Struthio camelus: one gene and its partners. The protein of the gene in region 3 purifies or fractionates together with the protein of the main gene of each other region. This does not show direct contact. Links are inferred from orthologs where the notes say so. Each region holds a gene or a part of one and is shown on either strand. Other genes may lie near its edges.

Region 1 (7,743 bases), on a different chromosome or scaffold from region 3:
ATGTTTCTAACAGTAGCAAAAAAAGCCTTATTGTGCAGTAATGCTACTTACAGACGTAATCAGAACAGCATTTAGTATGAGGAAATCCTACTGTGTTATATTCCTCCTACTTACACCACAGTATTTCACACAATAATATATTACTATGACAAATTATCGTTCCTACAGTTTTTCTCTGCACTGTTTGTGCATTCAGGGTTCTGAGAATTAAAAAAAAAAAAAGTAAAAGTGTATTGAAAATAAAATATTTCATTATAAACTTAAGTTTAGCATTACTTACAAAATAGTCACCTAGATGCTTACTGTAATCCTGACAGCAAGTAAGAGGATTCAATTCCTAATTTTGTATTGAGTTTGAGACAGAAAATAAGCTATTCAAAATAACCCTTCAAAAGGCACGCTAGAGTATTGTATAAATATTTTTTAAAACCTTTTAATTGCATAGAAGAGTTCTTTTTACTCTCCCATACAAGAAATAAAAGGAAACAAAAAATCTAAAGTTTATACCAGCAGGGAAAAAAAGATGACAAGGAATATTAAATATTTAAGGATTGAAGGCAAATTAAAAATAAAAGTCAGCTTTTTAAAAATATTGTCATTGCTTAAGTACAGCTATTACTTAAGTTATAGAGGAACACAGAGGTTATTTTTAAAAACTAAAGGGATACTAGAAAGTATTTCTAAAAACAGTGTGCAGTGTAGAGCTATCGCTCCTACCTTAGACAATGAGATCATCAAATTGCATAGGTGGCTTACACTGCATTGCCTAAAAGTGCAACATTAGATAATTACTTGTTTCTGAGCTATTGTTTTGAGTTCTTAAAACTAAAACTTAAGATGAGTATACTAAAGAAATTACATTATAAATGAATTGTTGCTCAAAATTCATCTTCCAAGTATTTAATATTTTGCTTTTATGAATTTTCACCTTAATATTCAGTTATATCACAGTTAAGTCGTTGTTTTTAAAGACAGTGATGTTATAAATATTCATCGTGTAAGGATTCCTTTTTTTCTTTAAAGTAAAACTCAATTTTTAGGACAACAGTCTGGAATTTAAAGCACAAAGATGATTAAGTATACAGTTAGAACATGGTTTCAGAGAAGAACTAGTGCCTGTTTGAAAGAAAATAAAGCAAATATTAACAATATCCTCAATTTCACAGATACTAGTACCATCCTCCCTTCTTGGGTCATTACCTTCACAAATAATTGGACTTGATTATTTTATTATCCTAAACAATGTGTTTCGTTACAATGAAAAGCATCTACAACCCTTGAGAATACAGCCTGACAGTGGACTTCGCCATCCAGTTCTCAACGATAACTGTCAACTGGACTATTAACACAAGCTGATTAACACCAGACAATCCACAAGCAAATGCCACAGATGTGACTACAGCAGATCTGGGATGCTCCTCTGTGGGTACAGAAGAGCATGGGGGGGAGATGGCGCTGCAACCGCTCTACCCTGTTCGGGGTCACTGGACAGGTGAGAAGCCAGGATGAACTAAACGAGTGGACACCTGAGCAGGCTAACTTCTGCTCTCCTGCAGCTCGATTACCTGAGGAGCAGCAGAAAGAAGCCTTATCGCTTGCCAATTTACGCAGCGGAGCAAAAGGCTCCGCTCAAAGAGTTTACACGGACGGGCACCACATTGTGTCTGTCTTCCCTCAAGGTGTCTCAGCACCTGCGGAGAAAGACATAACGTGGGTTTTCTGCTCGGGTGCTGGGACTTTCTAAGCAGGGAGCCAGCTCTGCCCCTAAGGCAGAGCCCTGACGGGGTGAGGGCCGCCGGGCCCCCACAGCCACGCCGTGCCCATGTCCACACACCGGGCGGACAGCGAAGGGGCGCTGCCACGGCTCTGGGAACGACCAAGGAGAGCAATAAGACAGACACGGGGAGAAGGGAGCGAAAAGGAAAGCTCGCTGCTGCGGGATCGGCCGCCCGGCGAGCATTAAGCTCAGCCGTTTCCCCCGCCGCGGGCTGACAGCTCCCACCGCCCCGGGCGCTGTCACCGCCTCAGCCCGCCCGGGGAGAAGGGGCGCAGCCCCCCTCGCTGTGGCAAGCGGCGCAAGGCGGGGGGGTGGGGGGAGGGCAAGGCGAGATGGCAGCGGACGGAGCAGCCCCGCGGGCGCCTCGCCCTCTCGCCTTCCCCCCCCACCCCGCCCCCCGACGCCCCGTCACCCTGCCCGGCCAGCGCCCTTCCCCGCCGCCTCCTCCGTGCCCCTGGCGGGCGCCGCGCTCCTCGCCGCCGCACGCCGACCCCGCGCCGGGGCAGCGGGAAGGAACAATGGGGGGAGCCCGTAGGGGGCTCGGGGAGAAGGGGGGCAGCTGGCGGCAAGCAGAGCACCGCACCGCCGCCGCTCCGCGCCCGCGGACAGGCATCCCGCGCCCCTCTCTCTTCTCCTCTCCCCCCCCCCCCCGGGGCGGGACGGGGCTCGGCTGCGGCGGGTCCGCCGCAGCCGAGCCCCGTCCCGCCCCGGGGGAGAAGGAGGGCGGAGGGAGGGAGCGGGGGAGGCAGGTCTCCAAGCGCTGCTTCGTCCCATCCGCACAGGAACCCTCCTCGCCCCGGCTGGGTCTAAGCCCCCAGGCCCGCAAGAGCCGGTTACCGCTGCCGTGGCCGCCGAGTCCTCCTGGCCGCCAGAGCCCGGCTGGCCGCTCGCGCCTTCCGTCGCCATCTTCCCGCTGTAACGGCTCCGGCGCGGAGCGCGGAGCGGAGCCGAGTGGCAGCCGCCGCCGCCGCCGCCGCCAGGCGCTTAACCCCCTCCCCGCCGGCACCAAGCCCACCGGGAGCGGGGCGCTTAACCCCTCCGGCGCCGCGCCTCACAGCGAGAGCTGCCGAAGCCCAGCCTGCCCCGTCTGCCGGCCGAGGCGAGCGACGCGCGGAGTTGGGCGACGGCGATCCAGAGGCGCTCGGGTTTCCCCTCCTTCTCGCCGCCACCCCCCAGCCGCCACCAGCCGGCCCCGCGGCAGGCGGAGGAGGGGCAGCGGGACCCCGCCGCGGCGGCGGTGGCGGCGGCGGCGGCGGAGGGGAGTGCCCAGGCCCCGCGCAGCGCCGCGCCCCGCTCCGCTCCGCGCCTCTCCCGCCCTTCCCGCCCCTGCGCCTGGGGAGTAGCGGAATGAAAAGAAAGGAATGGGAAGGGAGGAAAACAAAAAAAAGAGCTTTTGCAATGGGCTTGGCTCACCTGCCCAGTTAGATCCTTAAAGCAGCTGAAGTGTATTGGGGAAGGGGACCTCTTTACCGATACCCTTTTCTTTCTGGTGGTGCTGACTGAGGGAGTTCACTGGAAAGAGCACCTCTCCTCAGACCTCCCGTGGAGGGGCGGGGGGAGCACATTTCGGCTGACAGACCTTGCTTAGTCCTGTATTTTCCAGCGAGGCAGGCTTCAGAGCCTGTGTTACGCTGGACCTTAATCCAGGCCTAGCACTCTGGGGCCAAGTTAAAACCTTCCTGTGCCAGACAAGAGCGCACCCGGGCCTGGCAGTGCCCTTTGTCTTTCTAGACCAGTACCTGCCTCAAAGCTTGCTTGAACTCCTCCCCAGAAAGGTTTTCACTTGCTACCCACCTAGGCTGAACCGCACGTCCCCCAGCAGCTGGAAGGGGTGTTTCCCGAGGACTTGCCTCACTGCTTTTCTCCCACTCTGGGACCCCACCTAGCTAGCCATATACCAAAAACAAAACTGAATGTACCTTCCTCTAGGACCAACTCAAATCCATTCTAAACAGAATCCAGGACATTATTTATTCTACAGTCATACAACTTTTCCCACTGAGCCTTGCTTGTCTCCATGTGTACTAGGGCTGCTTCAGGTCTTGGTCTATACTCAATTCTTGGTCTATACTTGGTGCAGACAGAAAGGGACCAGCATCTTCCCTTCATTAAAGACAGCTAATGGTCCTCCAAGCATGCTGTACCTAAGGCTGTTAAGTAAAAACATGCATGAACTTTCCCCTTTACATACCCATAAGACAAACCAATGATAAACTGATAGAATGAACTTCAGCTATAATGGAAATGTTCACTGAACAGAGTGAGCAGAATTCAGTACATAGGATCCGTTACAGTGCAGATAAACTCCAAACAAATAGATGCGTTGTTTTTTTTTCCGGCATGAAAACCACCTAACTCTCTTCCTACTCAAGTTTTACACTTTTTTAACTATACTGTTTGCTAACATCCCTTCCACTGCTGAAGTTGAGAAACACCATTGATGGCACAGAGCCTAAACTGGCTTATTTTTCTCAGTTCCCCAAACTCAAATACCGTGTAATTGTTTTTTAATATAAATTTATGCTTGCTTACTTTATTGATGGCATGAAGTTCTAGGAGCATGTCATTAAGAAACTTAAGGAAAAGTCACTTATCTCCTATGCACTTTCTCATACTTACTCCCCTCCAAATGGGTTTTAAACACTATAGTGTTTTGAAATGGTTTGAGAATATCTTTTCACTTATTAATTCCTATCTACATTTATCATTTGCAGTATTTCCCTGGTATTTAACTTTTGTTAGAATCATCTGCTGACCATCACAGTAACTAGACTGCCTTTCTAACTGAGCTAGTACAAAGCATTCACATAACATCCTGTGTAAGTGCTATTTTTTAAGTCCGTCTGCATCACATGAGTGATGAAGCAAAGGCTGCACTATTTATCTCTTGCTCTGCTGAGACCATAAACTCTGAGGTTTAGCTGATATTTTATCAATTACCAAGTGAACATTTATCAAAATAATAATAATGAATATTAGATTAGTCATAGCTTACCATCTCAGGCTTGAGAATTGATCTCTCTTTCCTCATTTGAAGATAAATTTAGAAATTATTTCTGAGAGGGAAGGGGGAGTAAGTCTCAGATCTCAGCCAGCAAAAATTAATAGGATGGATGGACCAGGAAGACTTCAGCTAAAAGCCCGCCCCCATACAACTAACATCCAGCATATCATCCAAGCGTTGGAAGTAGTTTGACTTGCTGTTGTGGCAGAAAAGATCAGAGGCTTGCTTTTGAAGGAGGAATGATCTAGATTTCTTCTTTATGCTGCTAAATTAATCATCACACCATTTTGAAAATATTATTGATTTTTGTTATTGTATGAGCCTCTACTGCGTGTTTGTAATTCTTAACTTTTCCCCCCTAATGACAGCAACAAGGCTTACTGGTGGCTTGAGAGCACTGAAATCCACATTAGATATTACTAATCACTGCTGTGAGCAGATTCTCATGCTGGGTAGCAGTCATTACCACATTGTCCGTGATGGCGGCTGGGTGCAAAAGTCTGACGTTCTGCTGCATGAAGAACTCCTTCAGGCCCAGGACCATCTCTAACGTAAGAAATATTCTCCCCTTGATTGTTAACAATGTGTTACTTATTCTCTGGCTGCTCTGTTTATGCTACTGCATCCTCTCTTTCAGGACTGGCTTTACACTCTCAAAAATGTAGCATCTACGCATATAATATATGAGTTTGGAGAGATGGTCAGCCCAACTTGGTGACTGTTCCCATAATGCACTGTCATTGCTATGGCTGCATGCACAGTAAAATGTCTCTAACACATGGCCAAGCTCTAACACAGAGCCTTGCTGGCAGGAGAAATTGCCTGTGCTTTGACAGACTATTTTCTTCTATTTTATGACTACATTGAAGCAAAGGAGGTGCTTTTCTCAGAGGAAGGTGTTCCCTATTTTAGTAGTAGCTGGTAGCTGGCAAACTGAAAATAACTAACTCTTTCTCTGCTACTCCCAGTTTTACTGGGATTGAGTGACAGAAAGGAACGGCCAAGCCTAGGAGTAGGCCCTTCAGCTGAGCTTTAAATATGTTTCTTTCCTATGATTAGAGAACTGGCACGCAAAGGTGGAATGTCCACATGTTACAGGATGCAGCTGCTGTACCGAGCAGTGTGCTCACTCCCTCCATTAGCACGCAACTGCTGTGATAGAAAATGTATGGCTTGGCTTTACACTGGCAGGGAAGCAAATTGCTTTGCATCTAAATCATACAGTATATCGAGGCCTTGCCATGTTGTTACTAACTATTCTTATAAAACAAAAAATATCGAAATGGTATTTTATTCACTGTTTTCTAAAGATAAACCTGTGTCTGAGTGTAAAGCAAGTAGGAGACATTGAAGCCAAAAGGTAAATTTTTATGGAAAATGAGGTATCTGAAAAAACTAAGCAATCATTATATCACTACAATCTTTTCAAAGGTCACCCCAGTGCTAACTGAAGGCATTTCTTCTATCATCACCCTCATCTAGGGCTAATCAATCAAATTTATACAGCATAATCCAGATTACCCCATCAAGGAAATTTGGTGTTAGAGATTTGTAAGCAATACAGAAGATTCTGACAGTGAAACATTAGCTTGGGTTTTGTGAAGAAGGGGTTACTTTTTTTGGAAGATGGCACTATACGGTCTGGGTGAAATTCAATAGAAAGAGGATCAATATTCCACAAGGCATGTTTGTTGTTTCTGAGGATGTTAAAGGAACATCGAAAGGGAAGGTGAAAAGGAGATATAAAATTATACTGTTGAGAGCAAAATGGACTCTCCAGTGGGCATCAATAGAAGAGATGCTTTAACTGACTATGCACAAGGAGCATAGATAATAAATAACAAGTATTGGAATTATTGATTTGTGAGCATAAATTCAACAGTGCTGAGTATGACTATAACTCAGTGATGTGATTCACATGATTTGAATGCTGAAAACTGGTTATAATCTGATTAGAAAAGCACAAGTGGACAAAAAGAAGGGAAGACACTCTATTAAAAATGGTATTTTGTGTGTCAGCATTACTGACATCTCCCAAACAAGTTATGTTAATGTTTATGAATTGTATTTTAATATTTAAAGCATAAAATGAAGTATTAGGTAGTGTCTAATCTATGGGAGCAAATCTCCCATCATACTAAAGACCAAAGATCTTTAGCATCTTTAAGCAAGATCCTTAAGCATCTTTATAGAAAGAGAAAACTGCTATCAATGTGGCTTTACCTTGAATGACACAAAATCTCTTTCTGCCAATACTATAACATTCTAGAAATGTCTAAAAATTACAAGTGACAATTCAGGAAGTTTACCTTGAGCAGGAGGATTCTGAATGAGACTTCAGTTTAACACATGGAGAGGGAAGCTAGATCCAGCTGGACTCTTACACACCTAAAACTTGACAGTTTGCTATGCCTAACTTCTAGAAATCTGAGCCCAAAATAGAATCCAGAGCCTGAAAATGGGTACTGTCTTTGGATTTAAAACAGCGTTTAATTTGGAGGAGTCCTATAGTCTGTGTTATGCGAAAGAAGAGATCACACACTGATCTTCTTGGCCTTGAAAGCTATAAGCTTCTATTAAGCTATCAATATATTTCAAGTCTGGAATAGTTGGATTCTTGATTGTTTTCTTTCTGTTTCACTATGGGAAGAAGAGGAGCTATCCACATTTGCTGTCAAGACAAAAAAGGCGGTACAGCATTTTAAATTCCTGAAAGGTATAGAAGAGTTAACATTTTCAGACCAAAAATATTTGAAAATGTTCAGAAGAAAGAAACCTCCTATCATTTCTCACTCTCACTCATCTTCTCCTGAAGTCTGGGTACCAGAAAGGAATGTGAAGTAGATCCACAAGTGAAAGTTAACTGAAGAAATAAAGGTGCAGGAATCAAGAATTCTCAGAGCCAGTTTTCATGAGCAGGCATGATGACTAATCTCCTTTTACAGGCATCAGCACTTCCAGG
Region 2 (7,692 bases), on a different chromosome or scaffold from region 3:
TTGCAGAACCTGTAGTAATACTGTTGCCATTTTTGTTTCTATCGTGGTATGACATACCTTTAAGGCTTCTATGACAAGATCTCTTGCTTCTAATTCTCCCTCAAGAATGCTAAACAGCGTCAGTAGTTCTGGTTTGCTGAGTTTTTCCAGATTCATCCTGAAAATCTGAAAAATAGAAAATCGTTTACTGAGTATTTATCTGTGTATTGGAATCCATATACTAAGTTACAACATATAATCTCTGTTTTAACTTCAGCTTCACACTGCAGCTTGTCCTGAAGGGAAGGGCAGAACACACCATGCAAACATTTTCTCTTTAACCTCCAAGACAAACTGCAGAAGATTCATTCTCCACCTTTTCCCAAGGGGTCATGAATGGTGCAACCAGAAAGTAAGGGCTAAAATGACAGTACAATATTCACCGAGAAGTAGCCAAAGTTAACAGGAGAGGAAAAAATATGGATATTTAAAAGCCATACTAATTTGGATTACACATCTGGATCACGCAGCTGCAAACACCACACTGAACTTATTCACGTGCTCAGTTCAGGCATACATGTTCAAGTTTTAAAACCACTACTGAAGAACAATGATTAATGCAGTCTAAACTGGGCCATCTTCCACAAATGTAATGGTTAAGTTAACATTTCAGCACTACAAAATGCTTTTTAGGAACGTCATTATGCATTACTTATGGAACAGGCCCAAACCATTTTACAAAAAAAAAAATCAATGCCAAAACCCCACACGTTTAATTACTATTCTTTCAATCTGATTCAATATCACCATCATTTGTGAAATATAATTTTACTGTCCACCTCAGAATGAAGAACCTTCATTTGACATTTGCATACAGAAAGCTTGTTAATTTGTCTTATTTCACTGATACACTTAATATGACCTAGTGATAAGCCTCTGTATTACATTATTTTTTTATTTTATTAACAAAGGCAATCATTTCATCGATTTTTAGGAAGTCCAAGCCTCCAATGCAAATATACCCCATTATGAGAGTCTTGTGCCTCACAAGACAATAATCAAATATGCCTTTCCTTAGTCCAATTCACATCCATCTTTTGCTGCTATTAATGTCAATTAAAATACTACAGGATGAACAAGCCATTCAGTAATACTAAACTCCACTTTACCAACAGAAGATAAATGGTTAAATTAACTTTTACTAAAGAAACGTATCCAGCTAAAACATTCAACTGAATTCCAAATTTTCTGAAGTCACTACCACTTTACAACCGATTTGCATAACTGTGCCTCTGGAGAATTAGGCACAAATGCATGTTCTGTCTTGTTTATGCCAAAGCAGTTTTCCAGTTGCTGGGAACAGAAAGTTCTGCTTGCAGAAAAAAATAAGTAGCCTTCGCACAGCAAGAGAAATTTGAAGTCCATTTTGCACCCCCACGCTAACTGGAGAAGTCCCCCATCGCGCAGTCGTGCCCCTGCTCCATGCAGGTTTTTACCGGAGGCTCCATGAAGCAGCAGTGTTTCTTACTGATTTTTCTGGATAGCCTCATCATTGGCACGGACCATTAAATGGAACTTAACAGAAAACAATCATGATTGTTTGAGATACTGTAGTCGCTTGAAAACCAGTATAACAGGACAACACAGATGTGCCAGCGCCACGTGTATGCTCTCTCCTGCAGAGCCATTAACTTACGTTTGAGAGGAAAATGCGTGACTATAAACTGCTTGGTAAATCCATAAGCATTTGCCAAGATTTAAAAAAAAGCCTGGTCAAGAACTAACACAAGAGTCTAACTTAAACTCACTGTACCGATTCAAATCGCTTTTCAGTGGGACACTGCAGCGTTGGTCACTGTTCAGCAGTAACAGCCACAGTTTTAAATCCACGGGAACAGCCTTACAGACAGGTGCTGAGGACCCAGAACACAGCCTCCCTCGTCTGTGGATATTTCTGTCAACAGGTCTGTCACCCCCCGAAAAGCCTGCTAGCTAAGATCTCATTTTCTACAGCACAGGAGTGATTTACAGCTTATCCATCTTACAGATAAAGGAAGACACCATAATAGAAGAAACAAGTGTTTTTATATTTGTTTATATATATATGCACTTGTATATATATATATATATATACATACACACATAAACAAACATACAGAGTGAGAAAAGAGCAGGCCTATTTTTAGCTTTTAACATTTAGCATGCTTAAGTTGGTACTTACAGTCAAGAGCTGCATTACTTTCCTGGACATATTTAAAATATCTGGACCATCCGAACACCTGCCTGGGAGATGCATGGCTTAATTTCAAACACTAGTTCAGGTCTTGCTCAGACTACATTCACAGAAGCTAAGACTGAATCAGTATTTCTGGGAAGTAGCAAAATTCTTTTTTTTTTGCCAGATAATCATTAAGTTACTAGTTTTGCAGTGTTATAAGCTAGAAATAAAATGAGAATTTTTCTTTGACTTCTTAAAGTATATAAGCTAAGTATACACTTGTACAAGTAAATTTTGAAGACGAACAAAGTCTGCACTTCTTCAAATGAAGACAACATGGAACCCTGCAGCTACATCACCCCATTAGCTACCAAAAGGCACACTCTTAAAGCAGGGACAGCTACCTACAGCAGTTCAATATTTTAAAGCAATTAGTTTAGGCAGTAACCATTTCGATTTTATATTCTAAACTACATTGTGACTTCTGCCTCCTTGGTGCTAAAGGAATAAGCCATTTCAGACACATTTCTAGGTGTATGAGCCCAAATCAGCTTCATAACAAATAAGCCCCACCTTAAAACACTAGTAGTAAGTGGTAAAGCCTCAGTCACATTGCGTGCAACCTCCTGCTACAGGAAAGCTGTACCCATTATAGCGGATCTGTAACCATCAAGCACTCACTTCTACAGCCACTCCATACTAGAGAACTGACAAATGTAGGAAAAAGGCAGCTCTGTTCATTCTAGATTATAATTTCTGCAAGAACAACAAGCAACTCCAAATCAGAGAGCCAATAACCACATACCTATAAGTTCCTCCTTCCCTACCCAAACCCAAATCCCTTCCATGCCTTTAAACATCACAGGTTCCAAGATTTCTTTCCCATCAGGTGCCCCTACTCCTTCTCCCTTCCCATTTCTCTTTAATATCACTCCAACCACGTTCATCCAGCCAGTTCTTCCCCTTGCAAACAGTCCCACTCTGCCAAGCAGATCTGCACTTGTCAGCTGGGGAAAACAGCCCATTATTTAAGAACCTCTAAACAAGAGATACAGTTTCACAGCTTGTAAACAAGACTTGGAAACATCCAAGGCATACTACCAGTTCACATTCAGTGAAATATCCTAACTGGTCCAATCATGCACAGATCACAAACCACAAGGCCGTCATTATTTAGTCTGATGGTATAAATATTTTCCCTGAGTCTGAGATATACCACCATTTTTGGACAACAAACAAGCGTTTAGAGCATAAACAAAGATAATTACTTACTGCTTGCCTAAAGGTAAACTTCCTTTTATCTGCGCTACTAACTGTTAAAAGAGTTTTTCTCCTCAACAGACCCATATTCACCCATGAAAAGGATGAAACTTTATAAAGTTATTTCCAAGTATTTAATAAATATCAAGAGTAGTTTAAGCATAGTACAACCATACAAGCAAACACACCAGGGTAAGCTATCTTTGGCATGCGCCACTTCAAGAACAGGAAAAAAAAAAGTGATAAGCTTCTGGACTACGACGCTTCCTCAGTGCCCTGAATCGTGCTGTGATGATTATGAAACCATCAGAGATGGCATGCTGCTGGGACTCACGCACGCAAACACACAAACCAAGTTAACCAGCTCTGCCAGCACAACGAGAGCGCTCGACCCACGGACTTCGGCGAAGGTTTGGGTTACTACATGGCGAGCGCTAAACAGAGGAGCCTAAACGCTCAGCTCAGGAGGCACAAACAGGAGCGCTCGTCGCATCGAAGCTTCAAGATATCTGCAGGCGCTTGGCCCAAATCTCTTCCACTTCCTTGCCTCATTGTGTAGAGCATAACTGGCTATTTTGCCTCTGAAGGAGGGTATCTCCTTTCCCTTCACGTGCCCTGCCTACCACTGTGCAGCTTCAACAACGCTTCTGTCTCTATAACCCTGAACCAGCTCCATACGTTGTCTCCCTGCAGGGCAGCCGATGTCGTCCAGCAGATACCTTCAGGCGACCGCGTTCCTCCGAGAGCCCAACCTGAAAACCTCCCAGCGCAGAACTTCAGAGATCTGCTGCAGGCGTTGTGTGCAATGCTCAAACAAGCTGCTAAAATAACTACACCCAACGCATTTATACAATAAAGAGCTAAAACACACCTTGCAACCGTGCGTTCACAACACTGCCTGGCACCGTATCAAAACCGTAGAGGTTTTAGGTTCAGACGAGCAGCGTTTGAACCCCCCCCCCCCCATCTCTGCGTCTCACAACGACGAGCACGAAGAAAGGAAACTCCCCCAAACCCGCCGCGTTCAAGTATTTATCCAAGCGCTGCTTTAGACGGGGCGGGTGTCTAAAGCCCGCACCCAAAGCCTTGCCAAAGCCCGAACCCCGGGGGCGGGACGCTGCCCGCCCGCCGGGCCCAGGGCAGAAACGAGCCCGGAGCAGGGAGGGGCCGGGGGCGCCCCCGAAAGCGGCGGCGGCCGACGCTCACCCCGAGGCGGCGCGACAGCGCCGAAAGCCTCGAGTTTCACCCCAAACCGGCCGGCCGGCGGCTCCGCAACCCTCGGCCCGGCCTGGCCCGGCCCCGCCGGGCCCCGCGCACCTGCCGCGGCCCGCCCGAGGGGGCGGCGCCGGCCCGGCCCGGCCGCGCCGAGGAGGCGGACACGGACGCGGCCCCGCCGGGCCAAGCCGCTGCCGCCCCCCCGCCCCCGAGCGGCCCCGCCGCCGCCACCGACCTGGCTCTGGCTCCTCCGCCGCCGCCGCCGCTCCGCGCCGCTCCGCGCCCATCCAGCCGGGCCCGCCCCTTGGCGCCCGCCTTTTGAAGGACGGCGCAGCCGCCAATCAGCGCCGCCGCCGGCCTCGCCCGTCGCCCAATCCGCCGCGGGGGTGGGCGGGGCCAGGGCGTGGGCCGGCGGGCGGTGGCGGCGGCGGGTTGGGCAGCCAATCAGGCGGCGGGGGCGGGGCGAGGCGGGAGCGGGGCGGGGGCTGCAAATCCCTTTTGTTCGCGGCGGCGGCGGAGGGAGCGCGGCGCCGTGATTGGCGCGTCACTTCCGGCGCGGGCGGGGCCGGGTGGGGCCGCGGGTGCGGCCCGGTGCCGCCCCCGGCCCGTTTCCATGGAGCCGGCCCGGGCCTGGTCTGCGAGCCGGGCCTTGGGCTCCGCGGGGCGGCGGGCGGGACCCTCGGCGGCCCTGCCCCCCCCCCCCCCGCGGTCCGTGTCCCCCCGCGGGCCGTGTCCCCCCGCGGGCCGTGTCCCCCCGGCCCCCCGACCCCCAGCGCCCGCGTTCCCCCTGCGCCGCGCCCTGTGAATAGCCGCTGTCCCGGGGAAAACGGAGCTCTCCCAGCGCGGGGGGGCTGCCGGGCCTGTGCCCGGGGCCGGGCCCTGCTGGCCGCAGCCTGCGCCCGTGGGCGGGCGAGAAGCGCCGCAGGTCGGCTGTGCAGCCCCGACGAGTCCGGTCGCCCCTCAGCGCGACGCGGGCCGAGCGGGCGCCCGGCCACGGAGGAGCTTAGCGCGGGGGCAGGAAGGGAGGCGGGTGTCTCTGTTCCTCTCCGGTCACCTCCGCTGCCTCTGAAATCCCGAGGGAAGCACCTCTTCCCAGCGCCACGGAAGCGTCCGGAAAGGAGGGCACGGCCGCTTACGAGGAAGCTGACATAAAGCCTTAGTTTCAATAAAACATGAAGTTTCCCTGACTTTCTAGGCCGGCGGTTTGCCTGAAGGTGCTCATATATATTTGTGACCCACCCGGCGCGACCGTGGGCTGGAGCGCGTTGCCTGCCTCTCTCAGCTCCTCCGCCAGCGCCGACCTCGCGTGCCCTGACACCGTCGGCCGAGCCAGGTAATCCGCGGACGCGCGCTGGGCAGCCCAGTGTATTTTCACCTCTTTACCTATCGAACGAGGAAAGAAGCCAGCAGGTATCAGCAACTGTTGCTTGAACAGCCGCAGCCCGCGGTTGCCTGGCCAGAGCGGGGTCACTGCCGCGTGACGCTGTTGAGGGAAGCAGGTTTTGGCTGCCGAAGCTGCTCAGCGGCGCGGCAGCCGAAATCAGAGCTGGCCCTTCTGGTGGAGAACGCGCCAAATCGCTCGGTCCCTGAACTTCCTACGAGAAGTGCTCGGGATTGGTAGTGTGCCCCTTTCTGCAGGCGCCCCAGAACTGACAACAGTATTTAACGGCCATTCCTGCCGCTTAGAGTTTGACTTCAGGGGGGTGCTATGCCTGCAGCACAGGGCTTGCGCTGTGTGACGCTGGCATTTTCTAAGAAACTAGCAGTTTCTAAAACAGAAAATTCTGAATCGTGCAAAAAAAAAAAAAAAGGTGTCACGTGGTAGCAGGACTTTATACAGTGACATGGCTAGCAATAAAACCTCTAACTGTCACAGTCTCCTGTCTAGTATGTTCAGAACAATATGATTTTGTCTAGACGGAGTTGTCTGAGTACTATGGATTTTTTTCCCAACCTTGATAAATACTGGAATTTTCGCCATGCCCCTGCTCTAGCAGTCTCAGAGCCTGGAGTAAAGAAAGCCGATGGGTTACCTTCTCTAACTTTGCTAGGACGCGCATATCATCGTGCCTATTGCCAGGCAGCTATTACATTAAAACCTCTAGGTTTTCCCTAATCACAATCCACTTTCTCTCACCCTGTGCTTCTCCTGGCTCTGTGCTTTTCACCTGTTGTCTCTCTCTTTACCCTTAGAATATGTTTTTTAGGGCAGATGTCCTTCTGTCATGTACATGAAGGAAGTTGGACAGAAAAGTTGACAGCTCACCACATCCTGTGAGTGAGGACGCGCAGCCTGCCAGGGAGGTCTGGGCTATGAACTGGCACAGCAAGTCATCTCACTGGAAAAAGCCATGCTTCAGAAAAAAAGGGGAAAGACTATGAGAATTATATCTAATGGTTAGTGTCAGCCTGGTGATTCATACTTGCAAGTCACTGGAATTAACATGTATTTTGAAATGAACTTAAAGCCAATGCAAAAGTGCAGATGGTTGGGATAAGAAGTCAATAGCTTCTGAAGTCCAATGTTTCCAAAACTTTAAAAAAATGAAGCTAATGCCTGTAGGTGTGAATCAGGACAGCAGTGGGTATCTGGTGGATATTTGCAGTCCCAGATCACTCCAGCTAATTTTAGTTGATTGCTTGCCCTGTGGCCAGGCCGAACAGCATCCGGCTGTCTGAATTACGATAACTTAAAAAAGGAGTGAATTTTAGAACATCTTTCTTGTTTGTGGGACTGCAGCTCCCTCCTGTGTCAGAGAGCTTCTACTACGCTTCACTCACCGCTCTCCACGCACACAGAAACAGCCCTCTCAAAGGCACGGTGCAGAAAAGCGGGTGACGCTATACTCGGAAGTCTCTGAATACCACCAAGTGGCTGAATGGAAGCTTTGATTTTTCAGAAATACCAGCCTGGAACATTTTTCCGATTAGCAGCCACAAAATAAAACTAAAATGTCGAAAGAGGAACTGCAGTTTTTTTTTTTAATAGAATCATTACGAGCATGAGCTCAACAAAAGAC
Region 3 (7,404 bases):
AAAAACAAAACTTTTATCTTTTAGTTAAGGTATAACAAATCCCATCCAACTGACATTACAAAGTTATAACCACTGCTCTTTAACTTGGCTTGATCACACTATGACTTTTGACAAGTAAAGCAGTAAGCTCTTCGTCGGCTGTTTAAGCAAACATCGAAAGGAAAAAAAGGTATTCTCATTTCAATTTTCCTTTTTTCCTTCTTCATCTGTACCGCTGAGAAAAATTTAAATCAAGAACTCTTATTACAGCTAGGTCTGCCATTTTCAGCTGCCAAACTAAAGTTTAGTTGCATTTTAGCAACAGGAGACTGTGAATTGTAATTAATTCAGTTAAAGTGGGGATTACTTGTTGACATACATTTTGAATAGCTCAAAATAACAAATTCTTTAAAAAATTTGGGGAGGGGGGACAAGGGGACGTGAGACTACCAACAGAACTGGTCAACACAAGAAATCTGTACCAGCAGCTTAAACGCTTTACTGTCACTAATATAATGTCACAACAGGAAGAATGTACTGCTCTGAAGTTCTGCAGAATCTCAACTCAGTGCAAAACTGATACGGCAAAGAGAAGTTGGAAAGAGAAAGCTAACACCTAAGGTAACATCGCCTTAAGGAGCTAGTAAATTCCACATTACAGTGCCTGAATGCCTATCTGATTATTTGACTGCATTAAAAATAACTTCTCATATAATCAATACTTCAATGTACTTTCTACTTAAACTTCTAATGTATTTGCAGACCTCACTGTCTTGCAGTGAGCTCCAAAGAGGGATGGGATTTCTCCCCCCCCCCCCCCCACCAAAGGAATTTACATCCTGAATAATGCAAGACTAGAACGGCCATACGCAAGACTGAAAACGTCACCCTGACCAATTTTGTGTTTTAACTAGTCTGCAATTTAAGCTATGCTTCTGTGATGAATACCATTGATGCTTTTACACCACTCAGTGTTCAAATTAAATTAATATTTCTAACTACTTCTGAGAAAATGCTAAGTGAGACAATACAATACAATAACAGACTACAGTTTGAATAGTCATCCCCCTCTCCCTGTCCTTATTTAAAAGTCAGGAGAAAAGTTAAGGTAATAAACCTTTTTTTCTCTTCAAGAGAATTACACCACATAATTTAAATTTCACAAATCCTACAAAACACAACTGATCCAAAAGATGATTTCCTGTTACTGCTGTGACAGAGTTAAATCAAAGTCATCTTTTACATATGAAATGCGAGACTCTGCATGCTAAAAGACACCAATTCAGCCTGGCCTGAGGAAGCAGACAAATAAAAAAGAGTTCCAGAACACTGCCTGCGGCTCACCTGTATCCCTGCTTTGGGCAACAACTGAAAAAAACAAAAACAAAAACCAAAACCAGGCTTCACAAACCTCTTCTGCAGTCACGGAAGGCAAAATATTAGATTTGCAGAAGGAAGAGCAAAATTAAGTGTGACAAATCCCTCCTGAACCACTGTTACAAGGTTCTGCCTACATACTAACAGAACAAGCTTTATAGCAGTATGCATTAGGGAAATCAACAGGAAGGGAAGGTATTGCACACGCTACATCTCACCTTTCAATTTCTGCATCAACAAACAGATCAACCTGTTAAATCATATGCCAGTTTCACTGCTTGCAATGCGTTAGATAACAAAACAGCAGAGACCGTCCAAATGCAGCCTGTCAAAAAGTTTTGTTTACAATACCCATTCCTACGAATTTTAGGAAAAGTTTTCTTCACTGTTATCACTAAAAGGCACCCGTGCTGGTAAAAAGGCCCTAGCAGCTGTGCTGCATCTGCCAAGCAGGAGACCCAGATTAATTTTTCCCATCATTCACCCAGCCCCTCTGCTCCGGAGAGGGCAGCGACTACTCCGGAGAGGCAGCAGCGCGTGCAGTCCAGGCTGAGGGGTGGAAAGAGCACCCCTCGCCACGCAGAAGGCGCTGCTCCGGCTCCGCACAGGCACCTCCGTGACCTCCTCGGAGAAGTTTACCTCGTCCCGACAGGAAGTTGCTGCAGCGTGGGAGCACGAAAGCGGAGCAGGGTAAAGACGCTGGGAGAACGGACTAGCGAGGCTTACCTTATTTTCTTTTATCGACTTGATTTTCTTTTTTAAAAATACAGTTCATAAAAAAACAAGCTCGAACCGGGAATCCTTCCTATGCCGTACTTCATTCCTGATCAATACGCGATATCGCATGACAAACAGTATCGTGGAAACTGTCGTCCAAGATACGCCAAACGCAATCCAGTAGTTCACAGCATCTAGTCTACTACGGTATACAGATCGAGGCAGACACATGTCCAAAAACATATATATGTATATATATATATATATACACACACACACACACACACACACACACTAAGGAAAATCAACTCTTCCCCCCCCCCCCAAAAAAAAAACCCACCACCACAGGCGGAAGAAGTAGCAGGCAACAGAGGTATGATCTCACTCCGGTAATCAAGGTACCGCAGCGCGGAGAAGCAATCGCAAAGGGGGGGTTGGGGGAGAGAGAGAGAAAATAAATAAATAAATAAATCAGAGTCACAAGAGTTTCCTGCCTTTGTACTGAGGCTGGCGCTGCTTTAACGCAGCTCTTCAGGCGCCTCTTTAGGACAACCGGCAGGTTGTCCCCGGCTCAGGGCCGCCGCCACCGCCGCCCCCCTCTCCCGCCGCGCAGCCCGCCCCGCTTACGGCGACGGCGCAGCGGCAGCCGCGGGGCCGCCGGCCGTTCCCCGGTACGCGCCGTAGGGGAGAGTGGCTTTACCTGGCCGCGCCGCCGCCGCCGCCGCCGCCGCCGCCGGGAGCCGTCCCTCAGGCACACGCTCGGCGCTGGAAGCAGCCCGCGCCCCGCGCCACCCCCGGCCCGCTGGCTGCGGCGTCCTCTCCCCGCTCAGGACATGGTCTCTCCCAGCGCGGCGGGCTGGCGCGGCCGCGGGCGCGCCCACTCGGCGAGGCCGGGGGAGGGGGGGGGGGGAACCGCTCGCCCCGCTCCCCGGCCTCCTCTAATGGCGGCGACTGAAGCTGCCCAAAGCAAAATAAACCCCCATACGGCAAAGAGACCGTACGTCACCCCAGCCTGCCGCCCTGCCCCGCGCTCATTGGCGGAGCCGCCGCCGTCCCCTCCGCCAATGAGCGCGCGCCTCTTTGGGAAGAACGGCTGATGTCATCCTCGCCGCGGGGGCGCCTTATTGTGAGGGCGCTGCGCCTCGCCCCGCCCCTCGCCGGGCGCCGCGGGAAGCCCCGCCCCGCCCCGCGCGCGAGCACCGCCCCCCCTCCCCCCCCCCCCCCCCGCGGGGCCGCCATCAGCCCCCGGCTCCCCTCAGACCCCCGCTCTCCTCAGCCCCCCTCAGCCGTGCTCGCCCCAAGGGCCTGGTGATGCTGTCGTCCATCCCTCCGGGCTGTAGCTTCATCCCAGCACCTGCCTTTTCCCCCCTCCACAAATTTCCCTCCGTGGCGGGGCGCAGGTGGACGGCGCCGGTCGGCCGTGGCCGACGCCGCTCCTGCGGGGAGCGGAGGGGTCGCGTTAAAAGCCGTAGTGAGATTGTTTAGTCTGAAAGGGCGATAGGTGGACACTGAGTTTCCCAGGGGAACAGTCCCTCACCACGAGCAGCCTCTCAAAAGTACCGGGGCCCAGGCTGCACCTACCCCAAACTTCACCCGACCCCGACCAATTCTTTCAGTTACCGCCAAACGAACCACCTCGTCGAGGGCCTCCAACAAATCAACCATCACCTCAGCATGCTTGTTGTACCCCTTCCCGCTTCAGCGGGGTAAACGCTATATATAAGCATTAACTCTGGCCAGCAAGACCCATCCCTCCCTCCAGGGGAAAGGGCGACCCGCAGCCTAAACTCAGCCCTCGGCCCGTCCGCGCTGCCCTTTCTCCGCTTCCCGCTCAAAGACAGGGGATCCGTCCCCGCTCGCTCGTCCAGCGCAGAGAAAAAGGCCCCTGCTGTGCTGCGGCCGAGCCGCGGCTCTGGGGAGACGCTGGCAGAACCCCCCTGCCCAGCCGACGTCCAGCCGGCCCTGGAGTCGGGACGAGTCACATTAAACACTTAACGGCGACTGCAAGAGAAATTTGTGCCCGTTTACCTCCCCCCTCCCCTCATTTTTTTCCCCTGATGTTTGCAGAAAACTAATTAAATTGTGAATGCGATTTGTCTTTCTCAGAGAGGTTATTTACTAAATTCTCTTCCTGTCGCCACTGAACCACTCGGGCCCCACAGCCTGCATTTTCAGAAACGCACCAACAGTTAAATATATTCAGCTGCAGCAAATATTGGGACAACTGCATCTTCTTTCACACACCCACATGTAAGAATGTAAAAAGAATATTCCTTATCATAAACAATCATGCCATCTTCATGATTAGGAAAAAAAATCAGAAAACGTGTCCCTTGTTCTTATCATCTAGGCAAGATGATGGAAAAACGGTCATCTAGGCGAGCAATAAGTGAAGTGGTAAATCCTAAACGCCACTACAACTGTTTAACAATGGGAAATTACCACAAATAACTGTTATAGATTAGACTTAATAAAACAAGAGATGAAAATAAAAGGAATGCATAATCTTGGAGAAAATATCACTTCAAGTTCATCTAGAATATTTCCTAAATCTGTCAGGAAGTCATTTGATGTTCATTGAAACATATTTTAAACAAAATACAGTGCACTGCAACACATTAGGAGGGTGTAATATAAGTTTACAACGCAGGAAAGAGGTTTAATGGTGCTAGACTCATATCGCTTCAAAGACCACTTTGTTGCAAAGGAAAGAAAAATTACGACCAACTAAAAAAAAGATACTGAAAGAATTTTAGAAGCAAATGATTTCCATATCTGCATAGTAGTTTTGCAGAATAGAAACATGCCAGGTAATGAAATAGGTATCTGTTGTAACATATAGTATCTATATAGCATATGAAGGGAAACATAAATGGTAAAACGGAGTTTGCAAATAGTTATTGGAGCTGTTACATCCAGAATTCGCTTTTGAAATTATCTCCAAATCACAAGACTTTAACTTTACGAGCTGTAGCTATTGACAATACTATTCCTCAAACCATCTCTTTGGCTTTATGTCAAAAACCGTTAGCATCTTCTGCTGGGTTTACTTTGAAGGAATTTGCCATTTCTTCTAGAGTTTAAACAACAGAATACAACAGGAATGACCTTTCAACAGTTTAGAACATCGATATTTACACATATATGTTATCCAGTAATAGCTCTCAGGCTTACAGTTTGGAGGAAAATCAAAATCTATGTGAACTGATAGTTCAGTTCTCAATAGATCTGGTATTTGATCATCTTTATTCTTTTTTTAATAGCAGAAAGATAATTCTATGTTTATGACAGGCAGCAGAAACTGTATGCAAGTACTAGTTTCATATATTCCACCCAAAATTTTAGTTTCATTCCACCTGCTTAAGGACAAATTTTAACTCCCTAGTAATGAATTTGGAACATTCATATTAGTTTGGCAGATTCGTATTTTATTTTAGGAGCTCTTTTTTGCAGAGATGAATTCACTCATGCCTTGGACATTATTTGCCTTTACTAACTGGGCATGTAAGAAATGCAATTGCCCTTTGTGACAGAGTAAACCTGTAGCAAAACTATGCACCCTTATTCACATGTAAAAATATAACTTGCACATATATATCTTTCAGCTTTGCTTTTTTCCCCGCTCTTCTGACATCTTCAATCCTTGTTCCTCTAATGCCCACTCTTTTTTCCCCACTATCCCCAACTCTCATAGGCCTCAGATCTCTTTTCTTTCCTTCCAGTTCCGCTAGAGTAAAAAGAGCTTGTTCCTGGCTCTGGAACAGCTCAGAAAAATTTAGATAGTAAATCTTTTTTTTTTTTTTTTTTTTTTTTAAATCAGAACTCACAGATTTTCAGAACATCATACATGAGAAATAAAATTTCACAGAAATAGCCCCAGAACCCAGATCAGAAATCCAGCTGGTTCCTCATCAGCTTGTCCACCAGGTCTGTGCCAGCCAGCAGCTGCACCACCAGCCAGGCTGCCTGACGTGGGAACCCTTTGTGCCACTAAGGTGTCAGCCTAGCTGGCAGCCAGGTAGGCAGATGGCTTGGTTGTTCCCTTCCTTTTTGTAAAGGATTGGTGAATTTAGGATTTTTTCAGAACAAACCAGCTTCAAATTGTAGCTATCTCCTATTAAATGAGAGCATGCTGCACCATACAGCCTTATAAAATGCCCTATTTCTTCTCTCTTGGTGCTCACTGTTAGTAAGGTTTCTATCCTCAAACCTCCCTGACGTTTCTGTTCTGATTCACCCTGTTCACAAGTGAGCAAATGATACAAAAAGCTATAATTAGAAGGAAAGCATTGAAACATTTCACAGTAGCATGCAATATCTGGGGGATTCGGTTAAGCAAAACTGTCCTTCAGTTAAGCAAAAAGACAAATGCCAAATTGTTTCATGCTAGCACACAGCATTGTACTGCAGCAGAATTGTCTCAGCCCAGGTGCAAAGATTACATCTAGCTAGTGATAGATAATTACAGCTCTCTCTCTTATGTAATTCTCTTTACCCTGGTAACTACTCGCTGTCAGGCAGAGCACTGGCTCCCATTAGGCAATTCCTCCTCAGCTTATCCGAGAGCAGAGACGTACGTGTCCGCCAGATGGTTATTTCTCACTAGCTGAACTTTGAATACGCAGAACTCGCTACCCAGGCCAACCCCTTCAATCCTGCTCCTGCCACAGCTTTATTCAGTATTTTCAGGCTATTTGCAATCAAGAAAGACTTACAACTGAACTAAACACTTGCCTAAAGGGGAAGGAAAAGACATGCACAAAAATCCAAAGGAAGCACAGCTGTTGAAACTACTGAAAACAGGGTATTTTAAACAGGTGACTGCTTTGTTACCCTTTTACCACCTTCCCTCCAAGTCAGCCCCAGCCTTCAAGGCCCAGTAAATCTCATATATTTGTAGTTCTTTTCTCCATTTTAGCATGAAACATAAAACATTCGACGATAGCTGGATCACTATACCTCCTATTCAGGAGAGGATCAAGTCAGAGAAGACATAATGCCCTGACTAAACCCAGCCTCCCTTGCGGCAGCAAGCTGGGGGTTGTTACAGGCAGTTACCCTGAGACCTGCAAGAGAGCCTGAGACATTCCCAGCAGGCCTGCGGCCCCTGAAAGGAAGGCAGGTTCCTTCCCCGTGATTTCCACAGGCAACCAGCTGTGGGGGCAGTTACCGACCTCATGGCTGCATCCAGCGGGAACTGTTTTTGCTAATCCTACCCGTTCTATCGGCTCAGCTTTTAGGTACCTCTCAGAAAACATCCTTCAGGAAGTATTTTCACAGTCACAAGTTTTCTTCTGGCTTCCCTAGGGACTTTGCTCTCAGAAGTGATGC
Region 4 (7,539 bases), on a different chromosome or scaffold from region 3:
CCAGAGCGGGCCGACCTGGAGCCCCGCCCCCCCCCTTCGAGCCAGGTTGAGCTGGAGCCCCCCCCCTCCGAGCCAGAGCGGGCTGAGCCAGACCCCCCCTCTCCGAGCTGGAGCAAGTTGCACTAAGCCCCCCCTTCTCCGAGCCGGAGTGGGCCGAGCTGGAGCCCCCCCTTCTCCGAGCCGGAGCGGGACACACCGAGCCCGAGCCCCCCCTCTCTGAGCCGGAGCGGGCTGAGCCAGACCCCCCCTCTCTGAGCGGGAGCGGGCCGAGCTGGAGCCCCCCCTCTCCGAGCCGGAGCGGGACACACTGAGCCCGAGCCCCCCCTCTCTGAGCCGGAGCGGGCTGAGCCAGACCCCCCCTCTCTGAGCTGGAGCGGGCCGAGCTGGAGCCCCCCCTCTCCGAGCCGGAGCGGGACACACCGAGCCCGAGCCCCCCCTCTCTGAGCCGGAGCGGGCTGAGCCAGACCCCCCCTCTCTGAGCCGGAGCGGGCTGAGCTGGAGCCCCCCCTCTCCGAGCCAGAGCGGGCTGAGCCAGACCCCCCCTCTCCGAGCTGGAGCAAGTTGCACTGAGCCCCCCCTTCTCCGAGCCGGAGCCCCCCTCTCCGAGCCGGAGCCCCCTTCTCCGAGCCGGAGCGGGCTGTGCCAGAGCCCCCCTCTCCGAGCCGGGTTGAGCCGGAGCCCCCCCCCCGAGCCAGAGCGGGCTGTGCCGTGCCGGAGCCCCCCCCTCACCTCTGAATCTGCTCCTCGATGCGCCTGACGAGCGGCGAGTCTCCGCCGCGGAGCGCCGGCTCGGAGCCGTCGGCGGCTCCGCTGACGCCCGCGGAGCAGCGGCCGAGCAGGGAGCGCACGCGCTTGGAGCGCATGTCCAGGACGGTGTCGGTGTAACCCACCTCCTCCAGGTACCTGCGGCGGCGGAGCTGAGAACGGGCAGCTCGGGACAGCCCGGGGCAAGCCCCCCCCCCCTCAAATATCACCCCCCCGATTTCCCGGCACTCACTGCCGCAGGAGCTGCCGTCCTTCCTTCCAGGCCGAGGGGCTGCCGTCCGGCGCCGCCGCTTCCGCCGGGCCGTTGGCGGCTGGGAAAGAAGAGGACGGAGCGAGGGGAGGGCGACGGGGGGGGTCAGCGCGCCGGAGAAGTGGGGGGGGGGGGGGGGGGGACGAGGCTCCGCCGGCTCCCTCACCCGGCTCCGCCGCCTCCGGCCTCTTCTCGCCCGGGTTGAGGTCGGTGCCGAATTTCAGCTTGTGATATTTAGACCTGGGGGGATTTAAGGAAAAAAGGGAGGGGGTTAAAAAGAAAAAATAAAACACACGCGTGCGGCACAACCGGGATTTTCCGCGTCTTCCCCTTCGGGCCGAGGCTGCGCCGGAGCCGCCTCCGCGCCGCCCTCTCCTACCTTTCCTGCTTCAGGGCGTATTCCAGCATTTTTATCCGCCGCACCAGGTCCGTCTTGAGGTTTTCCTGGCCTTTGCGCTCGCCCTGCAGAAAGGCCACCTGCGCCTGGCGGGAGGCGAGGCCGCGCTGAGCGGGGCCGGTGGTGCGGCGCCGGTGGTGCGGCGCTGGTCGTCCCCCCCCCCGACCCCGCGTTCCCGGGAAAAACAAAAAAGACGGGAAAAAGAGGGAGCTGCCGGAGGCGTCGGGCTGCGGGAAGGAGGAGCGGAGAGGAGGCGGCCGCCGCGAAGGTTGCAGCGCTGCCGGCGGTACCCGGAGCGCTGCCGGTGGTACTGGGAGCGATGCCGGTGGCGTGGGCAGCGGTGGTACCAGGAACGGCGCCGACGGTATCAGGACTGCTGGCACCGGAGTGATGCCGATGGTACCGGGAGTGATGGTACCAGGACTGCTGGCACCGGAGTGATGCCGATGGTACCGGGAGTGATGGTACCAGGACTGCTGGCACCGGAGTGATGCCGATGGTACCTTAAGCGCCAGCATCAGAGCGATGCCGATGGCACCAGGAGCGATGGTACCAGGAACGGTGCCGATGGTACCAGGACTGCTGGCACCAGAGCAATGCCGATGGTACCGGGAGCGCCGGCATCAGAGGGATGCTGATGGCACTGGGAGCGATGGTACCAGGAATGGTGGGCACTGGGAGCGATGGTACCAGGAATGGTGCCGATGGTACCAGGACTGCTGACACCGGAGCGATGCCGATGGTACTGCAGGCACCAGCATCAGAGCGATGCTGATGGTACCGAGAGTGACGGCACCAGGAACGGTGCCGATGGTACCAGGACTGCTGGCACCAGTGACGCCGATGGTACCAAGAGCGATGGTACCGGGAATGCCAGCATCAGAATAACGCCGATGGTACCAGCAGCGATGGTACCAGGAATGCTGACACCAACAGCAATGCTGATGGTACCAGGAGTGCTGGCACCAGAGCGATGGCACCGGGAACTGTGCCGATGGTGCCAGGACTGCTGGCACCGGAGCAATGCCGATGGTACCGGGAACGACGGTACCAGAAACGGTACTGGTGGTACCAGGACTGCCGACACCAGAGCAATGCCGATGGTACCGGGAGCGCCAGCATCGGAGCGATGCCAACAGCACTGGCAGTGGTGGTACCACGAATAGTTCCGATGGTACCAGAGCGACGCCAATGGTACTGCGAACGGCGGTATCGGGAACGCCAGCATCGGAGCGATGCCAACGGCACTGGCAGCGGTGGTACCAGGAATAGTGCCAATGGTACCGGAGCGATGCCGATGGTACCGGGAACGGCGGTACCAGGAACACCAGCATCGGAGTGATGCTAACGGCACTGGTAGCGATGGTACCAGGACTGCCGGTACCAGAGCGATGCCGATGGTACCGAGAGTGCTGGCACCGGGAACGGTGCCGACGGTACCGGGAGCACCATCGGGGCGCAGGGGAACAGCCGGTGCTCCGGCATGGGGCAGCTACCTCCAATATTGGGGGGGGGGGCCCTGATAGCAGGGGACCCCGTTACCGGGGTGGGGGTGGGGTCTCCGTTACCATGGTGCCTGTTATCGGAGTGGGGGGGGGCACCCTGTACCCCATTACCGGGGCAGGGGGGTCCCCAATACCGGCACACAAAGGCAGCGGGTCCCCCCCAGACCCTGGGGCCTCCCAGTAACATGCCCCCCCCCCCGCAGCCACACAGCCGGTTCCCAGTGCCCCCTCCCCACCGGTGTCGGTTCCTGGTTCACCCCCAACCCACCCAGTACCGGCTCCCGGTGCCCCCTGGTCCGCTCCCCCCCCCCGGTGCTGGTTCCCCCCCCCCTTCCAGTTCCCCCCCCCAACTGGTTCCCTCCTGGTGCCGATTCCCAGTTCCCTCCCCCCCCTCCGGTTCCTGGTCCCAGTTCTCCCCCTGCCCCGGTGCCCAGTTCCGCCCCGGTCCCGGTTCCCCACCCCCAGTTCCGTCCTGGTACTGGTTCCCTCCCGGTTGCCCCCCGGTGCCCGGTTCCCGGTTCCTCCTCCGTTCCGGTTCCCGGTCCCGGTTCTTCCACGGGGCCCGGTTCCCCCTCGGTCCCGGTTCTCCACCCCCAGTACCGGTTCCCTCCCAGTACCGGTTCCCCCTGGGTGCCCGGTCCCGGTTCCCCACCCCCAGTTCTCCCCCGGTACCGGTTCCCCCCCGGTGCCCGGTCCCGGTTCCCCACCCCCAATTCCCCCCCGGTCCCGGTTCCCCCCCCGGTGCCCGGTCCCGGTTCCCCACCCCCAGTTCCCCCCCAGTCCCGGTTCTCCCCCGGTCCCGGTTCCCGTTCCCCCCGGTGCCTGGTTCCCCCCCGGTGCCCGGTCCCGGTTCCCCACCCCCAGTTCCCCCCGGTTCCGGTTCCCCCCGGTGCCCGGTTCCCCCCGGTCCCGGTTCCCCACCCCCAGTTCCCCCCCGGTCCCGGTTCCCCACCCCCAGTTCCCCCCCGGTGCCGGTTCCTCCTGGGTGCCCGGTCCCGGTTCCCCAGCCCCAGTTCCCCCCCGGTTCCGGTTCCCCCCGGTGCCCGGTTCCCCCCGGTGCCCGGTTCCCCACCCCCAGTTCCCCCCCGGTACCGGTTCCCCACCCCCAATTCCCCCCCGGTTCCGGTTCCCCCCGGTGCCCGGTTCCCCCCGGTCCCGGTTCCCCACCCCCAGTTCCCCCCCGGTGCCGGTTCCCGGTCCCGGTTCCCCCCGGTGCCCGGTCCCCCCCCCATCCCGGTGCCGGCTGCCGGTCCCGCCCCCGGCATGGCTCCGGGCGGCCATTTCCTCCCAAGATGGCGGCGGCGGCAGCAGCAGCGGCGGCTCCGGTACCCCCGCCCCCCCCCCAGCTCCCCCGGTACCGGCGCCGCTACCTGCAGCTCGGCCCGCTCGGCCTCCCAGCGGCTCTTCTCGGCCTCGAAGCGGGCCCACTCGTGCTGGATGAAGTGCAGGATGCCGGGCAGGCTCAGCTCGGCGGCGGCGGCGGCGGGGGGGGGCGGCGGCGGCTCGGGGGGGGGCGGCTGGGCCCGCGCCGCCGCCCGCTCGGCCTCCATCATGGCTCCCGCCCGCTGCCACAAAGGGAGCCGCTGCCCGGGGCCGCCCGCCGCCGCTTCCTGCCACAAAGGGAGCCGCCGCCGGAAGTGACGTCGAGAGGCGCGCGCGGGGAGGGGAGGGGAGGGGGGAGGCGGCGGCGGCTGGCGCGGGGGGGGGGTGGTTGAGGGCCGGTTGCCGGGGCAACGGCGCCCCGTGGTACGGGCGGTGCGGGGGCTATGGGGGGCTATGGGGGGGTATGGGGGGGTATGGGGGGTATAGGGGGTACGGGGGGTATAGGGGGTACGGGGGGTATGGGGGGGTATAGGGGGTACGGGGGGTATGGGGGGTATAGGGGGTACGGGGGGGCGCGGCGGGGTATGGCGGTCACCGGGGTACGGGGCGGTGCGGGGGCTATGGGGGGCTATAGGGGCCACGGGGGGGTATGGGGGTATAGGGGGTACGGGGGGTATAGGGGGATATAGGGGGTACGGGGGGGCGCGGCGGGGTATGGCGGTCACCGGGGTACGGGGCAGTGCGGGGGCTATGGGGGGCTATAGGGGCCACGGGGGGGTATGGGGGCTATAGGGGGTATAGGGGATATGGGGGATATAGGGGGTACGGGGGGTATAGGGGGGTATAGGGGGTACGGGGGGGCGCGGCGGGGTATGGCAATCACCGGGGTACGGGGCAGTGCGGGGGCTATGGGGGGCTATAGGGGCCACGGGGGGGTATGGGGGCTATAGGAGCCACGGGGGGGTGTGGGGGTATAGGGGGTACGGGGGGTATGGGGGATATAGGGAGTACGGGGGGGCGCGGCGGGGTATGGCGGTCACCGGGGTACGGGGCGGTGTGGGGGCTATGGGGGGGCTGTGGGAGCCACTGGGGGGTATGGGGGATATAGGGGGTACGGGGGGGTATGGGGGGATATAGGGGGTACGGGGGGGTATAGGGGGATATAGGGGGTACGGGGGGGGCACAGCAGGGTATGGCGGTCACCGGGGTACGGGGCGGTGCGGGGGCTATGGGGGGCTATAGGGGCCACGGGGGGTATAGGGGGACATAGGGGGTACAGGGGACTATAGGGGGATATAGGGGGTACAGGGGGGCACAGGGGATGTGGCGGGGTATGGCAGTCACTGGGGTATGGGGTGGTGCGGGGGCTATGGGGGGGTTATAGGGGCACAGGGGGGGTATAGGGGGCTATAGGGGGTACGGGGGGCTATAGGGGGTACGGGGGCCGTGGGGGAAGCGGCAGGGTATGGCGGTCACTGGGGTACGGGGTGGTGCGGAAGCTATGGGGGGACTACAGGGGCCACAGGGGGGTATAGGGGGGCCACAGGGGGGTATAGGGGGGGTACAGGGGGTACGGGGGGGCGCAGGGGACGCAGTGAGGTATGGTGGTCACCAGGGTACAGGGTGGTGGGGGGGCTGTGGGGGCCACAGGGAGGGTATAGGGGGCTATAGGGGGGTATGGGGGGCTATAGGGGGGTATAGCGGGTACGGGGGGCCATAGGGGCTATAGGGGGGTACGGGGGGCGCGGGGGACACAGCGGGGTATGGCGGTCACTGGGGTACGGGGCAGTGCAGGGGCTATGGGGGGGCTATAGGGGCTATAGGGGGTACGGGGGGGCACGGGGGACGCGGCAGGGTATGGCAGTCACCGGGGTACGGGACGGTGCAGGGGCTATGGGGGGGCTATAGGGGGTATGGAGGGTTCGGGGACGCGGCAGGGTATGGTGGTCACCGGGGTATGGGGTGGTGTGGGGGCTATGGGGGGGCTCTAGGGGTATGGGGAGCTATAGGGGGCTATGGGGGCTATAGGTGGTATGAGGGGCTATAGGGAGCTATGAGGGGTACGGGTGGTAGGGGGGTGCTATAGGAGGTATGGGGAGGTATAGGGGGCTATGGGGGAAGAGAGACACGGGGGGGATTTGGTGATCACCAGGGCACGGGGCGGTGTGGGGGCTATAGGGAGGTACGGGGTGGCGGGGCTGTACGGGGGTCTATAGGGGTGTGCAGGGTCACGGAGGAGCGGGGGGGTAAAAGGGTGTGCGCACGTGTAGACAGGTGTGTACAGCGGCACGCGGAGGAATACAGGCGCGCCTGGGCCGATGGATGTGTCCAGCGGTACGTGGAGCGATGCAGGTGCGGGTGTATTGGTGAGTACACCTGCACGTGGAGGTATACAGGTGCGTACGCGGCTGTATAGGGCTGTACACCGGCACACGGAGGTAGACAGGTGTGCATGCAACCATATAGCTGTCTATACTGGTACAGGGAGGTCTACAGGCATGCACACAGGCGTATAGGGGTATACACCAGCCAGTACGTGGAGATATACAGGTGGGCGCACGGTCGTAGGGCTGTGTACACTGGCACGTGGAGGGGTACAGGCATGCACACAGGTGTATAGGGGTGTACACTGGCACATGGAGGTATAGAGCTGTGCGCACAGGTGTATAGGGGTGTACACCAGCACATGGAGGTATACAAGCGTGCACACAGGGGTGTAGGGGTGTACGCTGGTACATGAGAGATACAGGCATGCGCATGGGTGTATAGGGGTGTACAGTGGTACGGGGAGACGTACAGGCGTGCGCAGGGTCATATAGCTGTATGCACTGGTAATGTGGAGGTATACAAGCGTTCGTATGGGTATATAGCTATGTACACTGGTACATGGAGGTGTACAAGCGTTTGCATGGGTGTATAGGTGTGTACAGTGGTACACGGAGGTATACAGGCACGCGCACAGTCGTATGGGGTGCACACTCATAGAGAGACATACAGGTACGTGCATGTGTTTGGCTGTGTACACACGTACACTTAAAGGGCTCGAGCATTGCTATCGCTTGGTACGGTGTTGCTAGGGATGGGGTTGCTGTGGCAACAACACCCTTCCCCTCCCGTCGCCGTGGCCATTCGTGTCCCAACGCCGCGAAGCCTCAGCTGGGAGCGCTGCTGCCTCTGAGGCACCTGCGGGCCCCTAACAAGGAGGGGGTCGCTAACGAGGGGGGGTCGCTAACGAGGGGGGGGGTCCGGGCCCTGCCCCTCCCCTCCCTGACGCTCCTTTTCCCTCCTCACAGCGCTGC

The links.
Region 1: the proteins of ZRANB1 (region 3) and CTTNBP2 purify together in Homo sapiens (affinity purification with mass spectrometry; 3 studies listed by BioGRID and IntAct, with this or other methods). This does not show direct contact. The link is inferred for Struthio camelus from reciprocal best matches to the Homo sapiens genes ZRANB1 and CTTNBP2.
Region 2: the proteins of ZRANB1 (region 3) and CTTNBP2NL purify together in Homo sapiens (affinity purification with mass spectrometry; 4 studies listed by BioGRID and IntAct, with this or other methods). This does not show direct contact. The link is inferred for Struthio camelus from reciprocal best matches to the Homo sapiens genes ZRANB1 and CTTNBP2NL.
Region 4: the proteins of ZRANB1 (region 3) and STRN4 purify together in Homo sapiens (affinity purification with mass spectrometry; 4 studies listed by BioGRID and IntAct, with this or other methods). This does not show direct contact. The link is inferred for Struthio camelus from reciprocal best matches to the Homo sapiens genes ZRANB1 and STRN4.

The regions. Positions count from the first base shown.
Region 1 is NC_090942.1:28,493,237-28,500,979, reverse strand, and holds the start of CTTNBP2 (cortactin-binding protein 2), read right to left. Parts: upstream 3,014-7,743; 5' UTR 2,684-3,013; coding exon 2,615-2,683; intron 1-2,614. UniProt on the Homo sapiens protein: Regulates the dendritic spine distribution of CTTN/cortactin in hippocampal neurons, and thus controls dendritic spinogenesis and dendritic spine maintenance.
Region 2 is NC_090965.1:9,366,295-9,373,986, reverse strand, and holds the start of CTTNBP2NL (CTTNBP2 N-terminal-like protein), read right to left. Parts: upstream 3,014-7,692; 5' UTR 2,276-3,013; coding exon 2,201-2,275; intron 166-2,200; coding exon 58-165; intron 1-57. UniProt on the Homo sapiens protein: Regulates lamellipodial actin dynamics in a CTTN-dependent manner. Associates with core striatin-interacting phosphatase and kinase (STRIPAK) complex to form CTTNBP2NL-STRIPAK complexes.
Region 3 is NC_090948.1:4,424,983-4,432,386, forward strand, and holds the start of ZRANB1 (ubiquitin thioesterase ZRANB1), read right to left. Parts: upstream 3,015-7,404; 5' UTR 2,774-3,014; intron 1-2,773. UniProt on the Homo sapiens protein: Ubiquitin thioesterase, which specifically hydrolyzes 'Lys-29'-linked and 'Lys-33'-linked diubiquitin. Also cleaves 'Lys-63'-linked chains, but with 40-fold less efficiency compared to 'Lys-29'-linked ones.
Region 4 is NC_090957.1:1,875,626-1,883,164, forward strand, and holds the start of STRN4 (striatin-4), read right to left. Parts: upstream 3,007-7,539; 5' UTR 1,931-3,006; coding exon 1,395-1,930; intron 1,256-1,394; coding exon 1,182-1,255; intron 1,077-1,181; coding exon 998-1,076; intron 904-997; coding exon 730-903; intron 1-729. UniProt on the Homo sapiens protein: Calmodulin-binding scaffolding protein which is the center of the striatin-interacting phosphatase and kinase (STRIPAK) complexes.